Linked DNA regions of Drosophila melanogaster. The protein of the gene in region 1 purifies or fractionates together with the protein of each later gene. This does not show direct contact. Each region holds a gene or a part of one and is shown in the gene's direction. Other genes may lie near its edges. The genes, in order: Sfmbt, HP1b, Mi-2 and phol.

Region 1 (7,611 bases):
ATTTTGAAGACTAAGCTCCGCCACACGGGTTTCCAGCAGAGCGCATCTTTCGTTTAGCTGGTTGACATGCTCTTCCAGCGCAGCTTGCTGTTGGCTGTTAGCCAAGCAATTGGCAGAGGAGGAGGACTTGCTCCACTGCGAGGAGGTGTCGCTTCGGTCTTCATAGAGCTCTGACTCTCCAACATGCGCGCCAATGTCTGGCAAGGGCGTCTTGAGAAACTCCAGCTCGGGTTCAATGGGGTCGAAGGGACCCAAGTTGACTTCTTCCTGTGGCTGGGCTAACTCCTGTTCGATGGATTCCTTGGAGAGTATTTGCTGAACCTCCACCGACTCGATGGGCTTTAGAGCACCAAGTAAATCCTCTGTGGAGCTAACGCACTCAATGGGTCGTTCCACCGCAATACCAGGTCTTTTTTGGCGTCCCACCACCGGCACTGGACTGGTGGTGAATATAATTGGTTCCTCTTTGACGGCAACACTTGGCGTCGATCTCCTGGGTGCATTAAGCTCAGTGGTGTCCACATTGAGGGCGAACAGTACATCACTGAGGGAGTCTACGATCTCTGGCAGCTTCTTGGCCGCCTCATCGTTGAGTAGCAGGGACCAAGGTGTGTAAAATCGATGCAGCTGCTCCTCGTCGCTCAGCCAGGTGAGCACATGGCTATGCAGTCGCTTCTCGTTCAGTGTGGCGCGTATGAAGGCACGTCCTCTGCCCACATTCGTCCAGATCTGCTTAAGGTCCATATACCTCTGACGTTCGTGGGGCGTCAAATGCGTCTGGCAGAATTCCCAGAAAGTGGCGTCATTGTTGTTGCTGCCTCCGCCCGCATTTCCGGACACCATCTCCTGCATGTTCTGGATGAAGCTGGCGGCGCTGAAGGAGGAAGTGCCTGCCGATTGCCTAAGTCCGTAGGACATTAGTTCCTCGAGGGATTCGCACAGTTCCTGAACAGATTCATCCCGCTCAGTGGCAAGTTCTTTGCCACTGAACTTCTGTGAGATTTTATGCGCACTTTCCTGTAGACGTCGAAAGATGTCCTCGCGCCGTTGGCCAAAGGTGCTGCCCGCCAGTTGGCTGCGCATGCTCCGGAAGCCTGCCTCTGTGGGCATCGAGCTGGATGCATTTTCTGGCATTATTTGTGGCTATTATTCAACTAATTATATTTTCTACTCATTTTTCTCACTCCGTTGTGTGCCAACACTGGTTGCTTGACAACAAAACAAGCCAAACAGTGTTGATAAGCGTTGGAATGGGCGCATTCAGATCACCGATTAATGATTTTAAGTGACTGTGACTCAGCATTAGGTGATTTATTAAAATAAAAAAATTGTTTGTAAATAATTTATGGTACCTAAAAAACTTATAAAACTATAGGTTGCGTTATCAAAACAAACCAATTATAACTGAAAGCGCTTAATTTCTCCAATTCATATTGGTAAGGTACAACGATTTCGATTAAAATTGTGTTTTTACTGAGATAAGCAGTATTGTACACTTATCGATAACAATCACTCTGCATTATTTCTCGCTGAACGCGACCACTTGTGCATCCCTGGTGATTTAGCGGGCAAAATAATGCCAAAACGCTGTTGTGCGACTGTGTAGCCCTGGCGTATAATTGCCATCCCTGCTCGCGCAAATGCGAAAGAAGTTAGCACACAAAAATCTGTTAAAAACTATTGTTAAACGATTGAAGATCCAATAATATGTCATACCGCAAGTGCTAGCAACTGGGGAAACCCAATCCGAACGCGTCCAACGTGCAAAAGTGTAAGTTTGCATCCAGGGGCAGCAACGTCGTAAATTTTCTTTTCTGTTCGCGTTGGCTGTCTGCGCAAACGCTTCATTGACTTTTCGAGATTGAACCCATGAAATGTAACCAAAAATTCTGATAAATCGGATATATGCTCGAACCTTATTCAGTTGTGTGAAACTCCACGCGGCGGCTGAAATTCCGACCGTTACGACAGGCTTCAATCGCATTTCCGTACGCTTCCCTCACCGCGCAGCATCTGCGTGCAGAAAAGGCAAAAGTAGAATGAAAAAAAAAGGAAAACGGGAACAGAAGGAGGCAAACAAAACGAACAACGAGGAACACTGGGATTCGGTCAGGATTTACAGCCCATATGGCCGGAACATTCGCCGGTTCCAGGAGCTATTCGTAACCAAACAAACTGGGAGCATTCTATGTTGCATTGTCCATAAAATTGCAGCAAGATTAGCAATCAGCGTCAAATAGATACGGAGATTTCTAAATATGAACATAATATTCTTTTAAAAATTCGAATTAGCAGGCAGCTTAAAAAGTACTAAGTAAATAACTACGTAGTTTTTAGATAGGAATAAATAGGGATTTACTTTTTAAATTCGCCCCATCTTGACCAATTTTTATTATTTCAAAACACTAAACTATTTCAATGTTTGTTTTCAGTCAATGCGAGTTCGAAAAACAAAGGAACGCGACACGCAGCAGTAGAAAGCAATACTTTTTGAAGAGAACCCAGAAAGCTGTCCCATAAATGCTTTTGCCATACTGACCAATCCGGAATCGATAGCACCATTGGCTTAAAATGAACCCATCCGAGCTGCGCATGATGTGGATGAGTAGTCAGTACAACTCGGAGCGCATTACACTGGAGGATGCGGCCACTCTGCTGGGTCATCCCACTGTTGGACTCTCTGTCATGGAGGACCTCTCCGCCCATCAGCCAACTTTGGTGAGTGCAGACGGTTTGATTCAGAAGCCAATCTCTCAATTCGAAGACTAATAAATATAAAATGCTTTCAAATGAGCATCGCGAAAACGAGATACGTGTCTATCACTAAGGCACCCCATTATATTTGATAGTCCTCGGAGTCGAAAACAAACCCAAATTCTTTAGGTTTCAACGTGTACTCCTTGGGGATTGGCCAAATTTCCAAACTATCTTTTTTGTCTGTCTCAGTTATAAACAATTGGAATTTGTTTACTTATTTCTTCTACTTTCTTTTCTTTGATTTATATATTGGTTACAATTTAAATCTCGACACAAAAACACACATAACCAATGGTCGATCCTCAACCCGAACCACCTCCAATCTCCAAAACCCACAATGCTCAAAAAAAGGACATGAATCCGATGATGAGCCTAATGGGGGGAGATTTCACTGGTCAAGCGGCGGCGACTGCTGCGGCACTGGGTGTACAGCCGGGCACCCTGATTGCCACCAACTCGAACAACCTGTACGGATTTGCCCACATGGGCGGCCTGCAGCAGCAACTGCTCCAGCAGTCGGCGGCGGCGGCAGTCTTCCAGAACTATGCGGAGGCAATGGATAACGATGTGGAGAACGGCATGGTTGGCATGGCCATGGAGGCGGTCGTGGACGATGACGACCAAGTGTACGGTCAGAGGGACAATAACTTTGATGATAATGGATCCGAGTTGGAGCCCAAGCAAGAGATTATCAACATCGACGACTTTGTGATGATGAACGAGGACAATAATTCGTACGATGGCACCGACTTTATGACCTCCTCCGATAAGGACATTTCGCAGTCCTCCTCCTCCTGCATGGCACAGATGCCCGGAAGCTTGGGCGTCCCTGGAGTCGAGCACGATCTTTTGGTTCCACTGCCCGATGGCCTGCTGCACCACAAGCTGCTGGGCACAACTCTGGTCCCTGCGATGGGTACGCTAAATGGCAATGCCTTTGGCAACATAATGGTCAGCACTGAAAACACATCCAGCAAGCAAATGCAGCGCACCTATAGTACGGCCAAGGGAGCCAATTCCACCGCAACCACCGCCACCTGCAGTGCCTCCACGTCCTCCGCATTGCGATCACAGCGCAAGACGCGCAAGATCGAGCCCGTTAACAGGCCAGGACTGGTGCTGAAGACACCCATCGCCTACAGGGGCAACATTGACCCTTCGGTGATCCCCATACAGAAAGATGGCATGGGTAAGGTTGCTGTGCACTAGAGTGGGTCGATTCTTAATTAGAACATTGCGGGCAGAAAAGTAAACGATAAGTAACGATAAGTGGTAGAGATCTTAGTTGAGATCATATATTATTAAACATCATCAGTTTGATGTACATTGAACTTATCTAAAATTCCAAAAGCCTTTGCCTTGTATTTACAATCTTTCAAGGCTTGCTCTGTCTACTAGCTTATGTATTTGATAAAGTAAATAGTTATTTCTTTCTAAGTAATTAGTAATGATTCGTTTATTTAAACAATGAAAACCACCTGTAAATCTGCAATCGATCCACTCTACACGATATTAATTTTCAAGCTTTTTATTTTAAATCCTACTCTTAGTTTCACTTATCTTTATGGTTTTGGGTTTGTTTTGCAAGAATTTGGGTTTGTATACCATGATAGCATTTAAATTAAATACGAAATTAACGTTTACATTAATATGCACTTAAACGATTCGTTTTTTCTTCTTCTACAGCTGTCTGTAAACGTTGTGGCGCCATTGGAGTGAAGCACACATTCTACACAAAATCGCGACGTTTTTGCAGCATGGCCTGTGCCCGAGGCGAACTATATTCGTTGGTACTTAACACTAAGATGGAGGGAGACCAGGCAACCACTAGTTCCCCGGATCCTGGAGCGGGTTCGGAGTCAGCCGATTTGCCTGGCGATCAGCAACAGTCGCAGTCGGATATTGAGCTCGATCTGCATGCGGCGCACATTAAGAATGCGAATTATCGTTTTCGCATTACGGATCAATCAAAGATTACCCAGTTGAATAGCTTCGGCGAACCCATGTCAATGGGCGGCGACGCAGCTGCCAATAATGTACAAATGGCAGCAGATGAAACAATTGCTGCGTTAAACGGCGGAGCAGTGGGCGATGCCACTGCTCCGGGCAGCACCGAGGAGGGTGCATCCACACCCAATTCTTATCTGAGCGCAGCACCCACGCCCAAGGCCTTGCGACTTTTTAAGGACATCTACCCACAGGATGACCTGCCGCAAATACCCAAATACGAGCGCCTTCCCGTACCGTGTCCGCAAATGGAGAAGATAATCAGCATTCGGCGGCGCATGTATGATCCCACACACTCCTACGACTGGTTGCCCCGCCTTAGCAAGGAGAACTTCAATGCGGCACCCGTCACTTGTTTTCCTCATGCACCCGGTTGCGAGGTATGGGACAATTTGGGCGTGGGCATGAAGGTTGAAGTGGAAAATACGGATTGCGATAGCATCGAAGTGATCCAACCGGGTCAGACTCCTACCTCGTTTTGGGTGGCCACCATCCTGGAAATCAAAGGCTATAAGGCCTTAATGAGCTACGAGGGTTTCGATACGGACTCGCACGACTTCTGGGTGAACCTCTGCAATGCCGAGGTGCATTCGGTGGGTTGGTGCGCCACTCGGGGCAAGCCATTAATTCCGCCCCGCACCATCGAGCACAAGTACAAGGACTGGAAGGACTTTCTGGTGGGACGTTTATCCGGAGCCCGCACCCTTCCCTCCAACTTTTACAACAAAATCAACGACAGCCTCCAGTCGCGCTTCCGCCTTGGCCTGAATCTCGAGTGCGTGGACAAGGATCGCATTTCGCAGGTGCGCCTGGCCACCGTCACCAAAATCGTGGGAAAGCGCCTCTTCCTGCGCTACTTCGATTCCGACGACGGCTTTTGGTGTCACGAGGACTCGCCCATCATCCATCCAGTTGGCTGGGCAACCACAGTAGGCCATAATCTGGCTGCACCGCAGGACTATCTGGAGCGCATGTTAGGTAATAATATTTACTTTTTCTGCATACATGTTTTTACATTACCATTTTAACATTTTACATACCATTCCTACTTCCAGCTGGTCGCGAAGCCATGATTGAGGTTCATGAGGACGATGCCACAATCGAGTTGTTTAAGATGAACTTCACCTTCGACGAATACTACAGTGACGGCAAAACCAATAGCTTTGTGGAGGGCATGAAGCTGGAAGCGGTGGATCCACTCAACCTTTCATCCATATGCCCGGCTACAGTAATGGCGGTTCTTAAGTTCGGATACATGATGATACGCATTGATTCCTACCAACCGGATGCCTCAGGGTCGGATTGGTGAGCTTTAAAAGCTTCAATTTAAGTCGGCAAATCTAAATAGCTTCTGTTGTATTTTTTTTTAGGTTCTGTTACCATGAAAAGAGTCCGTGTATCTTTCCGGCTGGATTCTGTTCCGTCAACAACATTTCGGTTACCCCACCGAACGGCTACGACTCTCGTACATTCACCTGGGAGGGTTACCTCCGCGACACGGGAGCCGTAGCCGCTGGCCAGCATCTATTTCATCGGATTATTCCCGATCATGGATTTGAGGTGGGTATGAGTCTGGAGTGTGCAGATCTCATGGATCCCCGACTCGTTTGCGTGGCCACGGTGGCGCGAGTGGTTGGTCGACTACTCAAGGTTCACTTTGACGGATGGACGGATGAGTACGACCAGTGGTTGGATTGCGAATCAGCCGATATATATCCAGTCGGATGGTGTGTACTGGTCAACCATAAGCTAGAGGGCCCACCGAGAGTAGCACATCAGCAGGCCCCGAAACCGGCACCAAAGCCCAAAATACAGCGAAAGCGAAAGCCCAAAAAGGGAGCAGCGGGAGGCAAAACTCCAACCGATAATAATACTCAGTCGGGTAAGTTTTTTTTTTCTAATCAAAGTCATTCGAATTCCTGTATATCATCATGCATCTTCAAATGTTATTCCAGTCAAATCGCGTACAATTGCGCTCAAGACCACGCCGCACTTACCCAAGCTGAGCATCAAGCTGGAGCTAAAGCCGGAGCATCACAATGCTGCCTTTTACGAGAACAATCAGCCCGAGGAGGAAGGCGACGAGGAGGATCCCGATGCGGATGGCGATGGAGACGGAAGCACCAGCCACATCTCCGAGCAGTCAACGACACAGTCGTCCAGTGATCTGATCGCTGGATCGGGCAGTGGAAGTGGGTCCGCCTCGCTGGTAACTCTCGCCACGGGCAGTAACAAAACGGTAAAGAAATCTACTACTAAATCTCCTGCGCCACCAACTGTGGGTCGCAAAGCCACTAGCTACATTGCGGTGAGTACTTAGCGGAATAATAGTGCGTAGAGTCATCCATCTAGCCAGCCAGCCTGCTTGCCCGCCTGAAGTTCAGCTCACGCATCTAAACGGGAGGTCCAAAGAGCATAGTGGTTTTTGTTTTAAACATTAATTAAATTTTATTTAGAGGAATTCCCCTTTAATTTATTTGCCTTTTTTTTTCGAAATAGAAGCATCAGCTTATACACCAAAATACTCCATATTAATCCAAGTTTGCCTTGTTTAGCTTAAGTTTTTGTTATTTCATATGAAATAGATTGTCCGACCCAACTTAAACCACTGTGCTAAAGCTCCGTAACACAACTGCATAAATGTATATAACCAAAATCAAATCGTTCATAAAACGCCAATTTGTATATAATTTAATTTACGCACTGTTATTTTTGGTACTTGCAACAGCCCCAATAGCCCCAACACACCGACATCCAATCGTTCCGTCACACACCCAACCAGCAATGCAACATCATACGTTAACTAATTAAGTCCTTATTTTTTACCCCACTATAGAACTCCTCTGC
Region 2 (3,932 bases), on another chromosome or scaffold:
TGCTTCCTCGACAGACCGCTCCTGCCACAGATAGCGCAAATAATCGGAGCGCAGCTCACCAAATTCCGGCCACGCAGCCTTGCAGGCGAGACCGTAGATCTCATCCAGCCGGCGTGCGCCCAAGCTATCCTGCCGAGTGCGATAATACAGAATGACACTGCGCCACAGCGGCAACGCCTCACTGCCCATGCTCTTCTGGATCTTGTTGAATAGCTCATAGATCAAGGGCTCACTGTCGCTTTGAATGTGCGTGGCCAGAAGAAGCTCGTGCATCTCCACCGATGAATCGTTTTTCAGGGCTTCCGTGAGTATGGTGACAGCTGCCTCCCTTCCACTCGGAGCAGTGCAGAGCATCTTTCTTAATGTGGCATAGTGTTTCACGCCCATCAACTGAGAGCGATGGCCCGCCTGCAAGGCATCCGCTAGGCACTGTTGCTTTAGTATACGCTCCGTCTTTCCATCGCTATTGAGTGCCAGCATGGCATCCAAATACATATTCCACATTTCTGTCGTTTGCAGCTCCTCCACCGCCGATTTGTATACAGTAACGCAGAGTTGAATGCGTCGCTTGAGAGAGCGGCCATTTACGGAACGAGATTTCTTGCTGGCCGGCTCTTCGTCACTGGTATCCAAGTCCTCCTCCTCCAGGTCGCCCAGATGAAAGCCGCGCAACTCTCGCTGGGCAAGCAAATCCCACAGGCCCGGCTCCCGGGGGAACTTCTCTTGCATATCATCGATTATCATTCGCTGCAGCTTGCCCGTCAGCTCCTGATGATCCTCACAGCTTTCTAGAAGCTTAACAAAGTAGTCCAATTGGGTAATATTGGCCATGCTGTTGCGGTAGACCGCCTCCACGCGTTCCAATTTGATGTCCTGTTCCGAGAGCGTATTCTCGGCTAAATTGCGTTCGTTGCTGGCCAGGGCAGCCTCTTTCAGCATAATGTCAAAGAAGCACTTGTTAAGTGCCTCGGAATCCGGATGTCTCTGCAAGCCACGCAGCAGGATGTCCTTGACTCGATCGATGTTGAGCCGATTGAACTCGTACAGCCATAAGGCGGCGTCCACCCAAAGATCCGGCGAGTCGCCATGGTACTGCAAAAGAATAACAACAATGGATAAGTAATCAATGGAAGTGAGCAGGCTGGCAAATACTAACCAGCAGCATCTTCTCGTATATGCCCGCCACCTCGACAGGATTTGACTTCCTGCTGAACTTGATCCAGTTGCTCCACAGCCGTCTGTCGTGGTTAAACTTAGCCAAGGCCTCTCTGTACAGGCGCATGATCCGCGTGGCTATGGAGGCCTTTAGACCGGTGAGTTTAACGTGCATCTTCTTTTCCTTGTCCACGATGGTCATGTGCATGTGCTTCTCGTACAGTATGAAGTCCAGGTAGTCGGTGATGCTCTGGTGGCTCTTGTTGATCTTAAGGAACAAGCGTTCCCGCCTGCTAACGATTTCTCTGCAAGAATATGGATGAAATGGGGGCACAGACTCCAAATTCGTTTGGATTTCTCACCTGACCTGATCCGCTGTGAATACGCTGTAGTTCTTCATCTGCTCGTATTCCGGCAGCAGGCGCTCCTGCATCTCAGCTATGAACTCGGCCATATTTGCTTAGTTTTCTCCTTAATCGTACTTAGTAATATTGTTTATTTCTTTAAAAACTAGCGCACGTGCAACGCAACGGCCGTTTATCGATTGTCCAATTTCTGGAGAGTTATCGCTGACAGGGATGGTAGAAAGGGTAATTTAAAAAAAATATATATATATGTCAAAATTTAAAAATGGTCAAGAGATAATGATAAAATTACAATTGTAAAGTTTTTAAAGTTTCAGCTTTTTAATTAAAATGCGTTTACTGGCCAAGAGAGCGATAGTTGCCGATGGCGAGACCATGGAGTTGCCATCTTGATTTCTTCTTCTTCTTCAATCTCTTTAATCGCACGTATAAATAAGTTTTGGACGCCAAGAAAATAACAAAATTCGCAGTTGGAATAACACAATTAGCGTAAAAGCACAATGGCCGAATTCTCAGTGGAACGCGTCGAGGACAAGCGAACGGTGAACGGACGAACGGAATACTATCTAAAGTGGAAGGGCTATCCGCGCAGCGAAAACACCTGGGAGCCGGTGGAGAATCTCGACTGTCCAGACCTGATAGCCAACTTCGAGGAGTCGCTGAAGAACAACAAGAAGGAGACAAAGAAACGCCTGTCCACCTCCTCCACACCCGAATCCATACGCAGCAAGCGCAAGAGCTTCCTGGAGGACGATACCGAGGAGCAGAAGAAGCTGATCGGCTTTGAGCGCGGTCTGGAGGCATCAAAAATACTGGGCGCCACCGACTCATCCGGGCACCTAATGTTCCTCATGAAGTGGAAGGGCAGCGATCACGCCGACCTTGTGCCCGCCAAGCTGGCCAACACTCGATGCCCCCAGGTGGTCATACAGTTCTATGAGGAGCGCCTCACCTGGCACACGGGCAGCGGCAATGGTAATGGGAATACGAATTCCGTCAATTTGGGATCATCCGGTGGCCTGGGCTCCGTCGGCGGCAGTGGGGCCGGCGATGATACTGCTCCCGGCAGCGTTGGCACCACCGGTGGCGGCAGCAATATAGATGGCGGTGACGAGGAGGATCCCGAACCGGCCAGCCCCATTGGCAGCATCAATCAAGACGAGAATATCAAGCCGGACGAGAGTAGTGAGCTGGACAACGGACAGCCGGATGCGGATGACTAGTTGAGTGGCAGATACAGATGACTGTTTCGGATTCACTCGCTTATGTGGATACATACACACCGGCTTTATACGATATATGTACATACATATTTCGTAGCGTAGCCCTTAAGATAAAAAAATTGGACAAACTGAAGTTCTGGCGTCAGTCAGCGGTAGTATATACATATACATATATACATATACATATATATACATACTTAATCTATAAGTTCAATTGTAAAATTGTTTTTAACATCTACCTTTATTTTTGACCCACATAAATGTTTTATAAGCATATAACATCACAGTGTTAAATACAATTGGCCTAAACTACGCTTAACCTGATCAATGAGGAACGACTCAGACTGAAGGACCACCTTTCTATCTTAACAACTATCCAGCTTTCTAACACTTTAAGTTAAAAAAAAACACATTGAAATTGCCAATATTTTTGTGTGGAAATCAAAAGACGCCAATTGTGCTGCCCACCTAGCGCCTTTATAGCCAGAATTTGAGATTTTTTCCTAACAGGCAGTTATTAAGATCGATTAATTTAGATTTTCCCGATTTTTTCATTGTTTCGCAAATCATTATGTGTTCCAAACAAAAGCTTTTAAAACTATGTAGGTTTGTAAGACTAAAGTAAAGTACGAATAAAACAAAATTGTGCTGGCAGATAATTTGCCATGCCGTGCATAAGTACAAATATCTAAGAAGTTTCAATCATAAATACACATTCTTTCTCGCTGTCCCGAAGTTTTAATACAAATATTTTGTTTAAACATTTGACAAAAATCAAATAAAATGTCAAAAATGACTGAAGAATTGGAGAAACCAATTTGTAATAGCTACTATTTCCGCTCATCTCTGATCGATAGCAGGAATATTATTCGATAGACTGCAACAGGAGCCGGCAAAGTGTAAACTAAAATTATTATATTGAAATATTTGATGCACAGTAGAGACGCCGCGAGCCAATTCTAGCGTGGAAAGATGGCACAAACGAGCTCCATGAAGTTGCTGGGCGCCCGCAACATGTCCTGCATTGTGGAGCGTATGGAGTGGAACAACAAGATGGATCTAATTGCCTACGGAACGGAAAAGGGTGAGCGTCTGCCTCCGAAATTGCCAAGAATCACCAAATAAACTGCCAGTGGGCTTATCCCAATCATGTGGATAGGTGAGGTGGTCATCCAGCGTCTGAACTGGC
Region 3 (4,552 bases), on another chromosome or scaffold:
TGTACGGCCTCCGAGCCAAGCACACGCATCAGGTTGGATATGCGCAGTTTCGGCTCTGGTGGGGCCACCAAACCCAGTCGGATCTTCTCCTGCTCCTCCTTCCAGGCCTCGCGACGGTTCTGGCGACGAAGCTTTTTGCGCTCTTTCTTTGTGAGGAAAACCGGCAGATACACTGGTTTCAAGGGCTCATCTGAAGGAGTAGGTGGTTAGTTGCTTGTGGGACATGTTCTAGCTTTCAACTTACTTGGCGGCTTCATTTGTGTGGGATGCTCTATAAGGTTGGTTATGGCTGTTTGGCGTATGCTTATCTTACCGCTTGCGTCGTCTACCGTCTCCAGATCCTGGGTCAGTATAACTGAGTCCCACCACTCCATGGCAGGCACATCGTCCGGCATGTCCTGCTTGGGGGCAATCAATGCCAGTTTGGTGGCCGACGAGATGCCCGTTTTCCGGGCTATTTGCGAAATCTCATTCTGTAGTCGCTCCAGCTGGCTTTTCATGCGCATTCGTTCGGCCAGCTGCTGGAACTTTCCGGGCTCGTGGAATCTCAACGTCCTCTTGGTTCTAACAGTGGGCTTCAGGGCTATGCGGTCGTCAAAGTACTTAATAGCTTCTTCCTGGGCCGAAGTGCCCGATTCACTCCGTTCACCCAAACCCGTTTGGCGTTGGAACACCTCCCGTTTCTTGGCGCGTATGTTGGCTTTCAATGTAGGTGTCACCGTGGGAATATTAATGGTACGTCCGCTCTTGTCCACAGTGCGTCCTTCATCGTCCAGAATCAGGGGTTTGGGTCGCTCCTGCGCTTGAGCAGCAGCTGCAGCGGCGGCCGCTACCGCAGTGGGCTGAATCAAACTAGCCAAATTGCCAGTAAGCTTGGCCCTGATCTGTGCCTGCAACTCGGCAATCTTCCTGGCCTTCTCCGAGTCCTCGGGCGTGGGCTTCTTCGCCAGCGCTTGAGTGGCTAAGGCAACTGGCATTCCGATCGATGGAACTGACGCCAGCAGCGGATCCTTGTCTCTTAGATTACTCAGGGCCCGCTTGCGTTCCTCGATCTCCCGCTGGGCATGGGCCATCATCAGCTTGATCTGCGTGGAACTCAGCGAGGCGGGCACGGCGACCTCTTCTTTCTTCTCACCACCGCCGCCATTCTTTTCCGGGACATCGAAGCGGGATTTCTTGGGCGCTTCAAGGGCGCTTCCACCACCACTTTTGGAATCTGAGGCGGCAGCGCGCTTTTTGGACAATTTCTGGTCGTCGCCATCCTTGCGCGTGATAATGGACGACATAATTCGCAATTAAATGGGTCGGACTAAAAAGTAAATGTTATTTACCAACTGCTTGGCACATTCCTTGAGCTTAAATCAGCGATTTGCAATTCAAAAACAATACACAAGGTTTTTGGTCTTTGGTGAAAAATTCTCCGAAACACGTTAGGACAGGGTCGTTAAAAAAACATAAAAGTCAGGGTTGTCATGTCGCCAGTGTGACCGTTTCGCTTTCTTTTATCGGGGTGCAACCCTAGTTCTCTCACTTTTTGTCGCTCTCCGCTCCGCCATATTTGTTGAAGCCGCTTACAATTGACTATTTTTTTCTCGTCGTGTCTGTGTGTGCTTAATTATTTGTTGTGGAAATTAAGACAATTTCGTGTGCTCAAACAGTGTAAAAGTTGCATTCGAGTGCTACAATGGCATCGGAGGAAGAGAATGACGATAATTTCCAGGGTAAGTGCATTGTTTCAGTCGGCCAAATGTCGGCGTGAAAAAAACTCGGTCCGACCGTCGCTCGGTCAGGCTAAGAACCGTGGTCATGTTCAAGAGCCGCAAAGCCGCGCAGCGTGCTGCGTCCCCCTCCCATTGTTTATTGTTGCCTATTATCCTAATTGGTCATTGTCATTGCTGTACCTCGTTATAAACTATTTGTATTACAGCAATTGGTGAAATTTGTACATGTGTGGCGCGTTTTTTTGGGGTCTTTTGCGCCTCCTCCATTCCACACATATTTTTTATTGCATTTTTGTGTTCCCTCCATTCGCGAATGCAGGCAATATATAGACGTCCTGCTCACTCATCAAAACATATGTTTTACATGGTTGTTTTGGTCGAAAGTTTTGAGTGGAATACTCTGTAAATCCTTTAAAATTAAGTTTTATCTTAAGTTCTTTAGCAATTAAGATGTTTACTTTACCTGTGAATTGTCAAGTGTCAATTGTAATATACGGAAAATTCATTTTAGTTCACACTTATTGTGGTGTTACCGTATATGCAGTGTTATCATCGGCTGTGCAATGGTATCACCAGAAAAATAGTGTGCCCCTTTTGGAGCTAGTCGAGAATGCCCAGACGGCCTCATCTGCCACCATTTACATTCATTGTTGCTTGGACGTGGCAGCCATGACGTGATTTCTGAGTTTTTGTTAAAGAGATTACATTATTAATTGTAGAGAAAACTGTTAATTAAGGGGAATACGTGCATTACTCGCCACCGCCTACCGATTGCCAGTGTAAAGCCACAAATCCAGTGCGTAATATATCCAACTGAAGGAAAAGCGAAAAAAGAATGATGAAAAGTGTGTGCAAAAAATAAAAACCTGAAATTACCACAAAATATGCATATATATATTATAAATTGTGTAAGAAAGCAATGCAAAAAGAAAACGAAGCAATATGTGCATATATCTAAAGAAACGAAACAAAGATGCGTGGAATATTGTGGAAAATCTTGTCGCACTTCCACTGACGCACATACATATGTGATTTTTTCCACTCCCCCTTCGCCGACGTGCTCTCTTGATTGATTTCTCCACTCTCTCGCGTACTTGCGTCTCTGTGTGTGTGCGTGTTATGCACGCGCGCTCCAGCCAAACGTCGCCGTCGCCCCGTCTCTGTCGCTCCAACGTATATGATAAAAAAAAACTCACAGAAACCCGACGCGTTTAAATTAAATTTAGTTAAAAACAACAACAAAAATATAGCTACCAATGCAATCCTACCGAAGTGCCTGCAAAACAACTAAAGTATAGTCTTTTTAACGAGTTAATCAAAATATGCCAACACACAAGTAAGATGAAGAAGGAGAAAAGTAGAGTGTGGAAAAGAGACGATGCCAAGGGATGGGATGGGAAGGTGCCCGTCTCGCGAGGAAATTGCTGGAATGTAGTAGTAGTTCATAGGAAAACTGATAAACAATATGCCGCCGCTGTGTAACAAAAAGCAGCAGTATCCATAGCCACCCCAATTTTGCATACAATTTATGTTAATTCGTTCGCAGCTGTTCCTCTTCTGTCTACAGGCCTCTTCTCTCTTCTGTCCCTGCCCTCATTCGCCTCTCTTCTGCTTCTCCGTTCGACGCTGTTGCACTGTGGGCGTGTGTATGTATATGTATACGGTGTGCGTGCGTGAGGAAGTTATCCTAGAGAAATAGCGTGGGAGTAGAATTCAATGTCTAATTTTAACACGTTCCCCTCCCCGTCCTTCGGTGCTCATTCTAATTGGATTCGCTGCCGTTATCCTTCGATACATCGATAGGAGGATGCTTAATTCGCTCTGTCTTTTCCCTCACGTTTGTGACGTCAGCCAACGTTGGTTCTTCCCCATTTTTCTTCTTCCTAATTTCACCATTTGCCGGTTCTGTGATAATTTTTATGATTTGCTGCGCTATGCTGTCTTTAAAATTGTTTACTTTAACATTGCCATCCGATTTCCGATTACTCTACCACAAGTAAACAATCAAGAGTAATGCGACATCGCATAAATTACAAAAGGCTAAAACGATGCACATGTATGAGTGCCACTATTTATGCAGTAATGCAACAATAAAAGGGTGTGAGAGGGATAAGAAGGTTTCGGCAATGACGTATGCATTTTTCCTACGTACACAGCAAGAAATACGCAATGGCATTTGACACCGTTTCAATGTTTCATGCAATTAAAGCACATATCGATCAAATGTATTAATAATAATGACATTCATTACCGCAACTTTGTATCTTCAAAAGATCCAAATAATTTGATTTTTTCGTTGTTAATCTGAGCATTCTTGTCATTTTTTTATCAAAAGCTTCGCTGTTGCCGACTGCATAAATCTGCTTAAAACCCCATGTCTAACAACAACAACATGGCGCCAGCACAAATAAAATCAAAAATTCAATACAAGAAGTGAAAGTATACTGTGTGTGTATGTGAGCTGCAGTTACTGGTGTATTGGTGACGATCTTACCTTGCTTTGGCGAAACACAACTTGCCATCCCGCTCGCACGCACTGCATTCAATCAAGTCAACAACAAGTGGTGCTTTTTTATATCCGCCATGTATATACATATACATATCTTTATAAATATATATGCTTGTATAATTGGTAAATGGTATGTGTGTGCTGGCATTTCGAAAAAGTTTACTTGCGCTTAAAGTCCACAAAACTATGAAACATAAATAGGAAAAGTAAATATTATTTTAGCTTTCAAATACGTTCATTTTTATTCAAAAAACGCTCTCTCAAGTAGAACAACACTAGGTCGCTTCGATAATGGTTTTTGTTGTTCTTCTTGATTTTGACA
Region 4 (5,894 bases), on another chromosome or scaffold:
TTTACCTCCTGGTCCTCTTTTTGCCTGCAATCCGCGGATCGGAGGACTACCAGCGGCAGCAGAGTTGCAACCTTCAGCGAAAACCTGTTGCTAAAGCCGGCGGCTATAAAACTGCTGTATTTTTGGGCAACATATCGGTTGAATCGAAAGAAGGCTGCGAAATGCCGCGAAAACATTTCGTTTTGTGCTGGGCAGGGAAAAACAAACTGAAAATTTAGTACAATTTTAAGGCCCAGACAACCTGACAACCCAGACCGCCCAGACAGCTGATTGCTGACTTCAGCGGCGTGGCAAGAGGGTTAAAAAAAAAAACGAGTCAGCGCGTTCGTTTTTATAAATATGGATCCTAATAAAGTCCCAATTTCGGAATTTTATTAGTTAGAAGCTGGCGTACGAGATTTAAGAAGCATATTTTATTTTCTGAACCCCATTAAAAAATTTGAGCTACGCCTTTGATCCAAAAGACCTGCATCCCTGGTTTGTTTGCTGCTGAAATTGGCTGCATTCATCAACAAATGGCCCAAGTTCGAGGATCTTGCGAAAGTTTCTGTCCCGATGGGGAGGCGAAAATGTAGGTAAACGAAATTTAAACCCGAATTTAATATAATAACACCGTTTAATACATTCAGGCGTATTCGCGAGAAGCTTTTGCACTATTTCGAGCTAAAAAATGGCCAGAAGAACAAGCCAGGAGTCCTGGTCAAGGAGTTTACACGCTCCGCCGCCGATGTCAAGATGCCCATGCCCAAGGAAATGCGCACAGAAGCGGCATTGACCAAAACAGTGGAATATCTGCTCAAGGAGCAAGTATATTAGGCGCTTAGTTAGCCAAGTTAAATCTGATAATTAATATACTGTGCAGCATAATCCTGGACACACGAAAGCCGTACAATGTGGCTTACGACTTCATATTCGATCGATTGAGGGCGGTGCGTCGGGAGATCGTGATCCAGATGTACGATGCCAGTCAGAAGATTTGCCTGTTAGAGCCCATTGTGATGTTTCTGGCATATAGTCGCTATCGCTTGTGTGAGGAGCCCATCGAGAAGTTCGATCTCAAGATATGCAATCAGCATTTGCAAGAGTGCCTCACGGGAGTGCTTTGCTGTTACGAAGAACTGGAGGACTTGGAATCATCTAGAGAACCCACCGTTCGTGAGCTTGAGCGGCGCTGCTTCATAGAGAGCCTGTATCAATTGTTTAATCTGGGTTCTCCCGAGTCCTTTACACGCGCCCTCACCTTACCGGACTATGTGCGTCGGGATGCGACGTTTAAGCTTTGTTTTGGGATCTGTTTGGCCTTCCAACAGGGCAATTTGTATAGAGTGCTCATGGGTGTGCCACAATTGCCGCATATTCTGTGCGCGGTAGCTGCCGCCAAGTTGCAGGTGATAAGGAGGTACAGTATAACTTTTTCTATTGGATCTCTTATTGACATGATGCATTTTTAATGTAAATACATATGTATGTATGTATATTTGCAGGAGTTTGTTGCAGATTTTCACGCATGCCTACAACAACAAACAGCTTACGGTGCCGGTTCCTTACTTGTTGCGTTTACTGTTGTTCGATGGGCCAACAGGATTGCAGGACCAATGTCGGCATTATAATATATCCTTAACAGCGGATAGGAAGGCGGTGCAATTTAATAAGACTGATTTTAACCACAATGCAGAGGTATTTACACCCCAACACGAGCGCTTTGTGGAGTCGAAGCTGAAGCGTATTTATATTCCAGAAGTTCTATTGCTAAAGAAATTTAACTAGTTATTTATGAGCAACAATTGTAAATAGCTCGAAATAATAGTAAAGCCATGGAGATTAATTTATTGTTATTGCGCATTTGTTTTCTTGTCGGGTGGCAACCCTGGTGGCAGAACAACAAACCTATCGCTTATCGAAAGACAGAACGCCGCGGTATTTACAGCTAATAAATGGTTTGCCAGTTGGAGGTTAATAAAATGCAATTTTTGAATAGTAGTTAAGATTACATTTGTGCTGTTTTGCGAAGTAATGCGAAGAGAATAACCAATCTCCGCTGAATAAACCGCTTAAGATATACACAAAGCGCGCGCAGGGTTGCATTGTGGCGCCTGTCGCTGCACACTACACACACACACACCCCACACACGCAACGCGAGAGAAAGTACCGAGCCGTTTCTGGAAAATACAATTCCGCCATATTAACCGGCAAAATTCAAAATATTTACACTGCCCGAGGTGAGCGGGATCGAGGTGGTCATCCAAAGCGAGAATTAACCCGCCATTGGGCAGCAGGAGAGTGGCGGGCGGAGCGGAGCGAGCGGTACGCATCATTCGCCGTCTGCCGCCGCCGTCGCACAATAAACGATAGGCATTGGCCACAAAAAAGTGGAAAAAGAGGTGGAGGGAAAGGCCAGTTCAGTGCAGCAATACCGACGAAAACACGTACGTTTGTCCACTTTGGAAGTCTGGCGAATATATAGAGATATATACATAATACGGATTTTTGGCCAGATACTAATTGCCCACTTTTTCCGCAGCGCGCTCGCACACACAACACTAACACTCACGCACGAAGCAAGAGCGCCCACAAATACAAGCATACAGATACAGGCACACAGACAGGCAGACGGAGCAGCCGCGATGACAAGTCATCATCATCACGTCGGCGTCGGAGGGAACTTCCAGCCTCAACTGCATCAGATACGAGCGCCCATCGTGAAGAATCTATCGCTGGCCGCTGCGGCGGTACCGTTGCCCCTGCACTCCGCCCCGTCGTCGGCATACTTCACTCATGCACACCAGCCTACGGCGGCTACCATAGTCGAGCAAGATCCGTACACCGTTTTGGCGGGCGATCCGATGGGCGAGGAAAGCGAGAGCTTCCTGATCGAGGAGATCATCGACGACTATGATGATGAGGCTAATATCGTCGTAGACTCAGGCGAATTCTTTGAGCACTATGAATACTATCCGGTGGATCGGCTGGACAGACTTACCTCGGTCACGGTGGCTACGGCAGATGCACTGCCGCCGCCGATCATCATGCAGCAGACCAGCGACGATGAGGAATTCATCGAGGAGGATGGACAGCAGATGACATCCTCCTGCGATGGCGATGGCGATGAGGATGATGAGGCTACCGCGCCGGCTACGACAAATGCCTTCGAGATTGCCTCCGAGATGCTAACCACCATCGAGGCCACAAACATCAAGGAGGAGCAGCTCGAGAGCGACTTCTATATGAAGGCGACCGAGGATTCAAACAGTTCGAATGGCCAGCTGCAGGATTTTAAGCTATTTGGAAGCAGTCGCGTCGAGAGGCCCATGGGAAATTCAGCGGCCAAGCGCTGGAAGCAAACAAAGGTACCCATACGCATAACGCAGGATGAGTTCAATGTCACCCTTTGGTCCTCGCTCAACTCGGAGGATGAGGACGAGGAGGAGGAGTTGGAGGAACCACCTGGTTGTGCTGGCACCACATCCGTGACGTCCTCCTCCGCCGCCCAGAATGAAGGATCACCCAGCATGCCAAAGCTTATTATTGACGAGCACATGATCAACCACGATGTTTTAAGCGATGGCATCGGCAACGAGTACGTCATCCTACCCGATCCATTCAGCGCCTCTGCGGTCACGGATGTGGAGGAGGTGGTTAATGCATTTATGGGCGATGTCAAAGGCGAGGAGGACAGCCAGCCGCTAAGTGAACAGTTGATCTATGCGGAAAACCAGTTGGAAGAAGCTTATGGTAACATCGAGCTTATCGAGAACATGCCGAATAATGTGGAGCTGATACAGACACCGGGACCAGGTCCAGCCACTGTGTCGGTAGCGCTATCGAAGGTCAACGGATGTGTACCGAATCCACAGCCGGCTCTCCCAAAACTAGTGCTCCAGAACAGCAGCACCAATGTGCGACTGAAAAGTGCGGGAAATCAGTCAAAGGTGACAAAGAGGCAACTCACGGCGGCGGCTCAGGTGGCGACACCAAATCCCCCACCGCCACTAGTGGCTTCCAGCAATCCAGCCCGACCCCAACGACCCACAATTGTAACCAAATTACCGACTGCAGTGGCCAATCAGACGGCTGGTAATGCCATGGGAGCAGCTGGCGCGGCCGGCGAAGAGGATGAGGAGCCAAAGTTTCGCTGCACCCATCGCGGCTGCAACAAGGAGTTTCGCAACCACTCGGCCATGCGCAAGCACATGCACACGCACGGACCGCGCGGTCATGTGTGCAACGTCTGCGGCAAGAGCTTTGTAGAGAGCTCCAAGCTAAAGCGCCACCAGCTGGTGCACACCGGCGAGAAGCCCTTTGAGTGCACCTTTGAGGGGTGCGGCAAGCGCTTCTCGCTGGACTTCAATCTGCGCACCCACGTACGGATACACACTGGCGATAGGCCCTACCACTGTCCCATTGATGGCTGCTCCAAGTGCTTCGCCCAGTCAACGAACCTCAAGTCCCACATGCTGACGCACACGAAGCCCAAAAGGAAGTGGCCGCGCGCACCGCAAGTGAGCAACAACAAGACACCGCTGGTGGCCAGATACGGGCGACTGGAGTTTGGCGAGGATCCTCGTCTAGTGTACGTAGAACAGAACGAGGAGGTGGCGTCGGTGCTGCTGGATGGCACGTCCCTAACATCCTAACTAGTAGTGCGCTTTAATGTGTGGCAGGTATTGGCATGAGATGGTTAAAATATTAAAGCTCCTTTGGCTCCGGAAGGCATTATTGTACAGTTAGTTGTAGCCAGTTTTTATCTGTATCTGTAACCTGTAACGAGCGGAGCGGCCGGACAAGATTGTCACCTGGTGAACACATCCGCCCGCTGCCCGCCCTTTAAGTAAGTAGTGTAAGTTCATTCTCTAACAAAATAGGATTGCAGTGCAAAAGGAAGTTAGATGGTAGCCATTAATTAATTTCCTTCACGGATGAAGAGCAGTTCTAAGAGTTTAGCTTGTACCGTAGGCTAAGTGAGTCCCCCCGCAAAACCAAAACTGAACCGTAATCCCCGAAGAACTCAGCCAAACTGTCACCTTAAAAAGCCCCAATTTGATCTGATACTAATCGTGTGCGATCTTCGCTCGAATAACAAAACGCGCACTTTCTTTTCTACGAAAACAAAACAAACAAAAAAATAAGAAAAATACACAAAACTAGTTTTACCATATTCAATACGCATACACCATAGGCTATCTATATATTTTTGTAATGAATTATAACACTTAGAGCATTGAAGTACGGATTTAGCATGTTCAACGTCTGTTGGCGCTAACAATAATTCACAAATGGAAGCACATCAGTTAAGTCGGAATAAACAAGGGAAATACCTCTTCAAAATTAAACAAAAATAAACCAGGAAAACAATGCAACAACACTTGCGTATATCATTTATCATTTCTTTTTTTAACTATTTCACAGTGCGATTGTGTAAGCGTTAGATTTATTAACTGACTTTAAACTTGTAACTACTGCTAGATAACTACATTAAACGGTGAGGCAGCTATTGATGGACAGTCGCCGGGTGTTGTCCACTTCAGATTCGGATCAGCAAGCGATTAGATCGCCTCTTTGGACATGTGTCGCCTACAGCTACGTTCCATTCATTGATTGCGGTGTATAAACGCGTGCGGATTAGATAAAGCATCGCGGCGAGGTACAGATACGCGGCTATTTTGGATATTGGAACGGAGAACAGTACACACGATTGGTCTGGGCATGGTCTGATCGGTATTTTAGGTGACCTTGAGCCCATGTCCTTGAACTCCGGGAATAATATCCGCGATGGAGGCACTTGTTGGGCCAATCAATCCGGCCAGCGAGAGCAGCACGGAGTAGTTGAAGTACCAGAAAACGCAGAAGAGTACCATGAAAATGACGTCTGCAATGAACCGAGAGCAATAATAAC

Evidence for each region.
Region 2: the proteins of Sfmbt (region 1) and HP1b purify together in Drosophila melanogaster (affinity purification with western blotting; one study listed by BioGRID). This does not show direct contact.
Region 3: the proteins of Sfmbt (region 1) and Mi-2 purify together in Drosophila melanogaster (affinity purification with western blotting; one study listed by BioGRID). This does not show direct contact.
Region 4: the proteins of Sfmbt (region 1) and phol purify together in Drosophila melanogaster (affinity purification with western blotting; one study listed by BioGRID). This does not show direct contact.

The regions. Positions count from the first base shown.
Region 1 is NT_033779.5:13,170,774-13,178,384, reverse strand, and holds the start of Sfmbt (Scm-related gene containing four mbt domains), read left to right. Parts: upstream 1-1,628; 5' UTR 1,629-1,716; coding exon of another isoform or gene 1,717-1,848; exon of another isoform or gene 1,849-1,851; intron 1,852-1,915; exon of another isoform or gene 1,916-1,962; intron 1,963-2,002; exon of another isoform or gene 2,003-2,162; intron 2,163-2,432; 5' UTR 2,433-2,571; coding exon 2,572-2,718; intron 2,719-3,019; exon of another isoform or gene 3,020-3,108; coding exon 3,109-3,946; exon of another isoform or gene 3,947-4,158; intron 4,159-4,443; coding exon 4,444-5,742; intron 5,743-5,819; coding exon 5,820-6,069; intron 6,070-6,134; coding exon 6,135-6,646; intron 6,647-6,719; coding exon 6,720-7,072; intron 7,073-7,600; coding exon 7,601-7,611. Other genes in the region: CG5439 (uncharacterized protein), read right to left, coding at 1-1,134; CG43925 (uncharacterized protein), read right to left, coding at 1,497-1,628, 1,717-1,848. UniProt on the Drosophila melanogaster protein: Polycomb group (PcG) protein that binds to the Polycomb response elements (PREs) found in the regulatory regions of many genes.
Region 2 is NC_004354.4:9,079,339-9,083,270, forward strand, and holds HP1b (heterochromatin protein 1b), read left to right. Parts: upstream 1-1,915; 5' UTR 1,916-2,020; coding exon 2,021-2,743; 3' UTR 2,744-3,408; downstream 3,409-3,932. Other genes in the region: CG7246 (uncharacterized protein), read right to left, coding at 1-1,092, 1,157-1,460, 1,518-1,609; APC4 (anaphase promoting complex subunit 4), read left to right, coding at 3,716-3,827, 3,903-3,932.
Region 3 is NT_037436.4:19,907,212-19,911,763, reverse strand, and holds the start of Mi-2 (Mi-2), read left to right. Parts: upstream 1-1,548; 5' UTR 1,549-1,684; coding exon 1,685-1,721; exon of another isoform or gene 1,722-2,130; intron 2,131-2,184; exon of another isoform or gene 2,185-2,566; intron 2,567-4,552. Other genes in the region: Prp3 (precursor RNA processing 3), read right to left, coding at 1-190, 245-1,286. UniProt on the Drosophila melanogaster protein: ATP-dependent chromatin-remodeling factor which acts in nucleosome-remodeling by catalyzing ATP-dependent nucleosome mobilization. Involved in regulating transcription. Plays a vital role in development.
Region 4 is NT_037436.4:9,452,271-9,458,164, reverse strand, and holds phol (pleiohomeotic like), read left to right. Parts: upstream 1-1,883; 5' UTR 1,884-2,427; intron 2,428-2,522; 5' UTR 2,523-2,625; coding exon 2,626-4,635; 3' UTR 4,636-5,362; downstream 5,363-5,894. Other genes in the region: CG3552 (uncharacterized protein), read right to left, coding at 1-176; CG3437 (uncharacterized protein), read left to right, coding at 516-571, 630-803, 863-1,399, 1,485-1,767; ghi (ghiberti), read right to left, coding at 5,722-5,867.